Linked DNA regions of Tribolium castaneum. The protein of the gene in region 2 purifies or fractionates together with the protein of the main gene of each other region. This does not show direct contact. Links are inferred from orthologs where the notes say so. Each region holds a gene or a part of one and is shown on either strand. Other genes may lie near its edges.

The links. The genes of interacting proteins can lie anywhere in the genome.
Region 1: the proteins of Sgsh (region 2) and formylglycine-generating enzyme purify together in Homo sapiens (co-immunoprecipitation; 3 studies listed by BioGRID and IntAct, with this or other methods). This does not show direct contact. The link is inferred for Tribolium castaneum from reciprocal best matches to the Homo sapiens genes SGSH and SUMF1.

Annotation. Positions count from the first base shown.
Region 1 is NC_087398.1:15,119,986-15,123,202, forward strand, and holds the end of formylglycine-generating enzyme, read right to left. Parts: coding exon 2,961-3,217; intron 813-2,960; exon of another isoform or gene 749-812; coding exon 608-748; 3' UTR 505-607; downstream 1-504. Other genes in the region: traB domain-containing protein, read left to right, coding at 99-400.
Region 2 is NC_087399.1:3,387,527-3,391,967, forward strand, and holds Sgsh (N-sulphoglucosamine sulphohydrolase), read right to left. Parts: upstream 2,858-4,441; 5' UTR 2,829-2,857; coding exon 2,738-2,828; intron 2,326-2,737; coding exon 2,196-2,325; intron 1,973-2,195; coding exon 1,685-1,972; intron 1,641-1,684; coding exon 1,093-1,640; intron 1,043-1,092; coding exon 870-1,042; intron 825-869; coding exon 534-824; 3' UTR 469-533; downstream 1-468. Other genes in the region: Pmm2 (phosphomannomutase), read left to right, coding at 2,858-3,604; methylglutaconyl-CoA hydratase, mitochondrial, read right to left, coding at 3,617-4,218, 4,263-4,441. UniProt on the Homo sapiens protein: Catalyzes a step in lysosomal heparan sulfate degradation.

The DNA of each region.
Region 1 (3,217 bases), on a different chromosome or scaffold from region 2:
GATGAAATGTAATTTTTAGCAAAAATCAATATTGCCAACTTAATTTCTCAAAGTTATAGGTCACTTTCATGGCCAGAAATTTATTTGGCATTTTGTAGGTGGTGATGAGCCCATCAGGATTGTGGGTGTGGTGGGGATAGGTCATGTCCCTGGAATAACGAAATTGTGGCCCAAAGACCAGAAACCCTTCATTGCTGAAATTTTACAAGTGCCACCACCTTCACTCACCTCCAAAGTGGTGAGACTCACTTTTCGGGTTTCGTTGCTAACTTTTGGCGGTTATCTGGTGTACAAGTTTGTGCCAGTTCCTAAAATGCTCAAAGAGAATTCGCATTTGGTTATTCAGCACATTTTAACCAGTGTTAAGGGTAACTCTAATTTTAAGTATGCCTTACATTGAATTTTAAAATTGTTTTAAGCTTAAAATTGTTGCTTTTCTAATTCTAAGTCAAACATTCCGTTGTATATTTTTTTAATGGTAGGTTAAGGTGTAGTTCAAAGAGATTGTTATTTAAATCATAATATATTTCTAAAATATCATATAACTTGGAAGACTTGATGGCAGGATGATTTAAGTACTTGGGTTTGTTTGTTATTCACTGCCAAATTATTTGACATCACCGGCACATCGAAAGCCTAAATTTCCGGCCGAACTGTCTTTGGTATTGAAAGATCTTGCAGCGCAGCGATACCTCCAACAGTAAGACTCATGACAGAGGTAGGAGCCCCCTTTCTTCACTTTGGCGTCCTGAAATGTTATTCTTAATTATATGTTTTGTTATTGGTTGAAATAAAGTTTTGGCATAATATTAGCAGTCAGTAGTTAATTAGTGAAAAACAAGTTATACACTCCTTGATAAAAGTATACCAGACCAATTATAGTTTTTCCTTTAAAGTGTTTCATCTTACGTTTCGAAAAATTACAGTGTTTAGTTGAAAAACTACTACTTTTTAACTAGCACAATTTGCTGCGCTCACTCGTTTTGGCAAACATTATGCTCTTAAACAAAATCGATAACTTCATAACTAATTTCGTAAATAACTATTCAAATGTTCCATCATATTAATATCTTTAATGACTAAAAACAAATCTACGCGCCGATTTTTTCCAAGAAGTTAAAAAATAACCAGTGTTCACAAACCTACATTATTTTTCGGATATTCTTACTTTGGTGCTATTTTAAATGATACAGAAAGTTGCAAAAATGTTTGAATTTTAATTTGTTAGCTTCTATTGGGTTTAACTAATTTTTAAATGAGAATAGCTCGTATTTTTTTTCATAGCAATCAATTAGTCTTTTCTTTTTAAATTAGTGCCAGATATCACCAAATAAATTATCTTATTAAAATAATATAATAATATTTATTAACGTCTATCAGTAGGAGTCGTTTATGGCTCATTAAAGTACAGAGTTGTTTAATGAATTTAGGGATTTTTAGTTTTCAAAAGATTCATCGATAATGCGTGGATCGATCGATTTAATCATCATTTCTTCTTTATTTATTATCTATTATTTATTACTGTTACCAACTGACACAAAATTCCCTAAACGCCAATTTTTTTTTTTTAATTAAAATAAGAAAAGTATAAAAAATTGCATAAAATATTCGTTTTATAAAGGTTTTGGCGCACTCATCCTAACTTGGGATTCATGCTCCAAATCAACCCTTATAAAACTTTTTTTTAATATACTATTACGATACAGAAATCACGAAAACATTAAGTCCAAAATTTGTATTTTAAATTAAATGTCTCAATTTATGCAAAAATGAGAATTTCGTCTTATTTAATTCAATCTGTTTAAAAAAAAAAAATAATAAAGTAAACTTTTGCCTATTTTGCTAAGTTTTTTTATCTAAGCAGAAAATTCTAAAATTGTATATGGAAAACAAACAAAATTAGTAAATGGAATTTCACAATTTTTAAACAAAAATCAAACGCTTACAGCGTCCGTAAGATAGAGACTTGTTAGGCTAGGTTAAGTTAGGTCAAGTCAAGTCGAGTCAGGTTAGGGAAAAAAGCTATGAACCACTGGTGTAGGCAAAGCAATTTTTTATATGGCGCACAATAAGAAATTAAATTTCTTCAAAAATTATTATCTTGAAAAGCAAACACCATAATATGTAAAATCATCAACTTTTTCTACCAGTATTCATACTTTTACATATTTTTTGCATATAACAATACTATGCATCATTTGTCTAAAAATAACATAGAAAATAACAAAAACATTTGTAGTGTGTTATGTACCTAATGCAAAATTACTTTTTTGTTGAAAAATACTGATTTTTCGTATGCTGCTTATTATTCTACACAGTTAAATTTTAAGTTTCCTTTTGTTTTCAGTTATTTTGTTCACGAATTAAGTGATTTTAGAGTATACAGAAACGTCAAAGAAATGTAAGTAGGTAAACGGGAATAATTTACAAATTTTCATGGAAGGTTTAAGAGCTCTTGTACCTAACAGTACGCACTAAACACACCCCGCTAAAAGGTATATTTCCTGTGGATATTTAAGAAAGTGTATTAATCTATGGCTGAAATACGGATTTTTATAGATTAGTATACAAAACGACATACAAATATTAAAACGCTCCTCGATAGTTCCGTTAATGTCGCCAGAGAGTGCAGATATCTTTACAAGAAAAATGTATTTACAATGTTTTGAAAAATGTGGGACAAGGCGCATTTTTTTAAAAGTAGTTACTGAAAAATGAATTACAAAATGACATTTTTTTGATGCGATTTTGTGTCTCGTTTTGTCTCCTAGTGTATAGTTCCCCGTAGGCAGGAAATACTATACCGGGTGATCAATTTCAGTCCCAAACACCACACATATTTTCATTTCTAAGGTAACGTTGCCATTGGGAGTATTAAGCAAATTATAATCAAGAATAATCATATTTATTATACATAGTGTTCCGGATTGAAACTAATCACCCGGTAAAAACGAACATACAGGGTCATTCAACCAATTATCCTGAGTCCATTCCCAGACGTTCCCTGCCATATGGTGAAGTCCGAATTTGTTGGCGGGAAAACTATCAACTGGGGCCGTGGATAAGTAGCCATCCTCTGCAGTGTTTGTTAAGGGAAAGTCTCCTTGCCAGATATTGGCCCAGTGTTCGCCTTTAGGTGTAAGTTTGTTGCCCCAGGGGTACAGTTTTTGTCTCAAGCCGGCCCTGCACGCCATCTCCCATTCGGCTTCAGTGGGTA
Region 2 (4,441 bases):
CATTTCCGGCAGTCAAATAATTTGCTGATATTTTGTGTGTTGATTTTGTCCGCGGGTTTTATGTTACAATTTAAGGTATTGTATAACAACCACCAGAAGCATTTACGGATACAAGAGATCCACGAGAGAGTGAGTCAATCAGCGGCCTTGGACGCAATTAAACCCAATTTTGCAGATGACTGAAATCGCAGAAACTATGCACAGTGTCGAAGCGGTCGCGAACACCACTTCGGTTCTAGTTAGCAAGTTGGAAAAGACTGTGAAACGGAGGACGCTTAGGGGCAGATTAAAAAAAATTAAAACGAGGTGATGGTAATTTCCGTAAAATATTCTAACGCAAGCGCTTGGTCAATTCACACTTATCGCTTTTGTTTTTAATTTGTGTTATCACTGGAGAAGTCTAGCCGTTGTTGACTAATTTATTAAAATGTTGCGTGTGATTAGTTAATTAGGGAATAAGTCGCCATATGCAAACGTAGATGTTTTATATACGCATTTGTTTAGAATATGTGACAATAAATATATTTTTGTGTTTACGTGTTGTACAGGGGCATGCATTGGGGGTTGTGTGCATAGTCACCCTTATTTTCCAAGACTGAATGTGGGGAGCAAATCCACGGGTCACTTGTGGCGTTTTGCCACTCGGAAAGTCGTTTCTCCAGCTCCTGCATGATGTCTTTGTAGTCGCTCTTTCCAGCCAGATTGTTTAGTTCCACGGGGTCGTGTTTCAAGTCGTACAGTTCCCACTCGGGCCGGTTGTAGTACTGTCTCAGGGTCTTAAACCAGTACAGATTTTCCTTGTTTCTGGTGCGGTTCAAAATATCCTTCAATGATAAATTCAAGGCGAGTTTTGCGATAACATTACTCACTTGGAATGTTGGCGATAAGTAAAAGTCCTGATCGATCGGGAACGGCGCTTGGTAATTCAAATTATGAATCAATTTATAGCGGTGGGTTCTGATCATCCTCATTGGGTAATACATCGTTACTTCATGGAGATTATGACTCGCGAAAATCGCCTCGTTTGTTGTATTTTCCGGCTCTAGAATTGCCATTGAACCATAAAAATGTTACGACACAAGACATCAAAACCTTTAACTAGAAGTGGCAATAAGCTTTTCCCGGTCAGTTTTTTACTATTGATTTCGTTGCTCTCCTCTGTGATATTGAACCAATCAAGGACAGTTGGTACAATATCTAGGAGGCTGGTCAAGGAGTAGGTGACCTGATTGTGCCTTTCCTTGTGCAAAGGCGAGGAAATAAACATGGGTTCGGCAATCCCCGAATCGTATAAATTCGTGCGTCCGTTCGGAAATGGGGTCCCATTATCCGAACTGTAAATCACAAGAGTATCATCAGCGTGACCTGATTTTTCCAATTCTTCCAAAATTAAACCAACGCCTTGATCCAATCTCGAGATTGTCGTGTATTGATTGGCCACTTCACGCCTCGCCGCCTCCGTATCGGGAATATAATAAGGTAGCTCAAGTTCGTCCCATTGGTAATAAATTGGGCGCCAGTCCGGGATCAGACCCATGCCCACGTCCCCGTTGCCGAACCGTTGGCAGAACTGGCCGTATTCCGGGTGCGTGTGCCCGCAACGATGGGGGTCATGGAACGCAACATAGAGGAAAAATGGCCTAAAATTCCAGGTTTTGACTGGCCATGGGCACGTGCTAATTACTTGTCCGTGGAATTGTTGAGGAACTCTCTGGCCAGCAATTTAATCAAAGTGATATTTCGCCCAACTTGCAGGATTGAATTATTCTCCTCAGTCTGCTCGTAATCAAAACGATACGTATTTTTGGGGCCCACGTGTTTTTTACCGATAATTCCGGTGCGAATGCCGTTTTCGCGCAAAATGTTCGGCAAACTTTTCACGTTTGTGAAGGAATCGAAGTGGTTTTCGGCCTGGTGGAGGCCGTACATGCCATTCTGATGGGCCGGCATGCCGGTAAGTAGGGCCGAGCGGCTGTAAGAATGTGACTGCTCGAATTTGCCAAGTTTTGGGATAGGAGACGAAACGAGATACAAATTTTTATGATTATCTCTTACTATTGGGAAAATATCTGCCTGTATTGTTTTGTTAACAACTGCGCTCTCTGGCGACATTAATGGAACTATCGAAGACGGGAACATTTATTTGTATGACGTTTCGTATCCTAACTCATAGTTATCCGTAGTTTTGGGTTTACCTGGGCGAACAACTACTGACCGAGGTGTAGGCATTATTGAAAATTAGGCTGTTTTTGGCCAAGGCGTCCAAATTGGGCGTTTGGCAGATTTTGTTCCTGTAAGCCCCCATTTCGAAGCCGCCATCGTCGGCTGAAATGACGAACCGCCACTGGTTTTACAAATTCTTTATTGCAAAGTAGCCATTTTTATAATTATCGTGATTAACGTAACGCTAGTCTCAGCATTCTGTTTGTTCTAATTTTTTTAATAAATAAAAAAATCGAAAAAAAATGCGCCGCCCCTGTGTTTCTAACCTACATTTGACATGTCAACAAAAAATGTAAAAATCGCCGGATTTACGAATATTTATTACATTTCAAAAAAAGACAATGGTGCAAAAACGCCCGATTTAATAAATAGCAAAGTTTAATAAAGCAATTGTGTTTTTTTCCCCGGTGTGTCGGCCCCTAACCTGACTTTTTGACATTTGGCAAAATTGCATCATTTAAAACCCAGTGACGTGTCCATCTTCATTAAAAAGGTAAACAATCCCAAAACTCACCCAAAATCAGCAGCACATTTAATTGTTTGCCATTTTCAGCCCCAACTCGTGCCCAAATCACTAGTAGAACAAGCAAACCGGTTTTCCCCATCTTTCCACACAACGGAGCCAAATTCAAACATGCCACCAAAGAAAATTTTGTGTTTATTCGACATGGACGGCACCCTCACAAAACCCCGCCAAGCAATCGACCCCGAATTCGACGAATTCATCCAAACCAAAATCAAGCCCTTGTGCACCCTCGGCCTGGTCGGGGGCTCCGATTTCAAGAAAATCGCCGAGCAAATGAACGGCGAGGACGTCATTTTCAGATTCGACTACGTCTTCCCGGAAAATGGGCTCGTGCAGTATAAATTCGGGAAGGAGGTTGGGCGGCAAAGCATCCAGAAGTTCATGGGTGAGGATAAGCTTCAAATGTTCATAAACTACGTCCTGAGCTACTTATCGACGGTGGTCCTGCCGGTCAAACGGGGCAACTTTGTCGAGTTCAGGGCCGGGATGCTCAATATCTCGCCAGTCGGGCGCTCCTGCTCCCAGGAAGAGCGCGAAAGTTTCGAGAAATATGATAAGGAGTTTTGCATAAGACAGACGATGATTGAGGCCCTCAGGAAGAAATTCCCCGATATAGGGCTCACGTACGCAATCGGGGGGCAAATCAGCTTCGACGCCTTCCCTAAAGGGTGGGACAAGACGTACTGCCTGCGCCACGTCCAAAGCGAGGGCTTTGACGAGATTCACTTCTTTGGGGACAAGACGGACGAAGGGGGCAACGACTACGAAATCTACAATGACCCGAGAGTCATAGGCCACAAGGTCTCAGACCCGGATGATACAAGAAAGCAACTTGAAAAATTATTTGATCTTTAATTTTTTTTTTAATCATTCGCCAATATAATTCGGTTTTCGCTTCTCCTTGAACGCCTGTAGTCCCTCTATCCTGTCCTTGGTCGGTATCAGCTGAGCATAGCACGCCTCCTCGATCGCTAATCCCGAACTTAAGTCGACTTGAACCCCCTTATTGATGGCCTTTTTGGCCATTTGGACCGCCACAGGTCCATTCGGTAATATTTCGCGCGCCAACTCCAGTGATTTCAAATAAGCTGCGTCCTGATTGGCGTTTTGTGACACCACGTGGTTGACAACACCCAATCGGTGGGCGGTACCACCGTCGATTGTTCGTGCCGTGTATATCAATTCCTTGGCGATTGAGGGGTTGATAAGCCGGGGGAGTCTTTGGGTGCCTCCGGCCCCCGGTATTATGGCCAATTTGCCCTCAACTAGCCCCATTTTACAGTCACTTGAAGCGACCCGAATGTCACAAGCCAGGGATATCTCCAGACCTCCCCCCAAAGCAACGCCATCCAAGGCGGCTATGACGGGGATAGGGAGGTTGTGGAACTGGTCCATGAGACTTCGCAGGTTTGAGACGAATTTACCGACTTCCGCTTGAGGCATCGTTGCGCGTTCTTTAAGATCCGCTCCTGGAAAAAATATTAAAGGGGGGCTTCCAGCTTTGGAGTTATACCGGCACAGAAGACCCCCGGGACGTGGCTTCGCACTATTAATACGCGGGCCGAGGGGTCGAATGTGATTTTCTGGAGAGATTTCTGTAATTCGGTTACTAGGTTGGCACTTAAGGCGTTCTTTTGTTTGGGGCGGTTAAAACCGAAAACGGTTATTCCGGTGTCAGATCCTTGCAGTTGC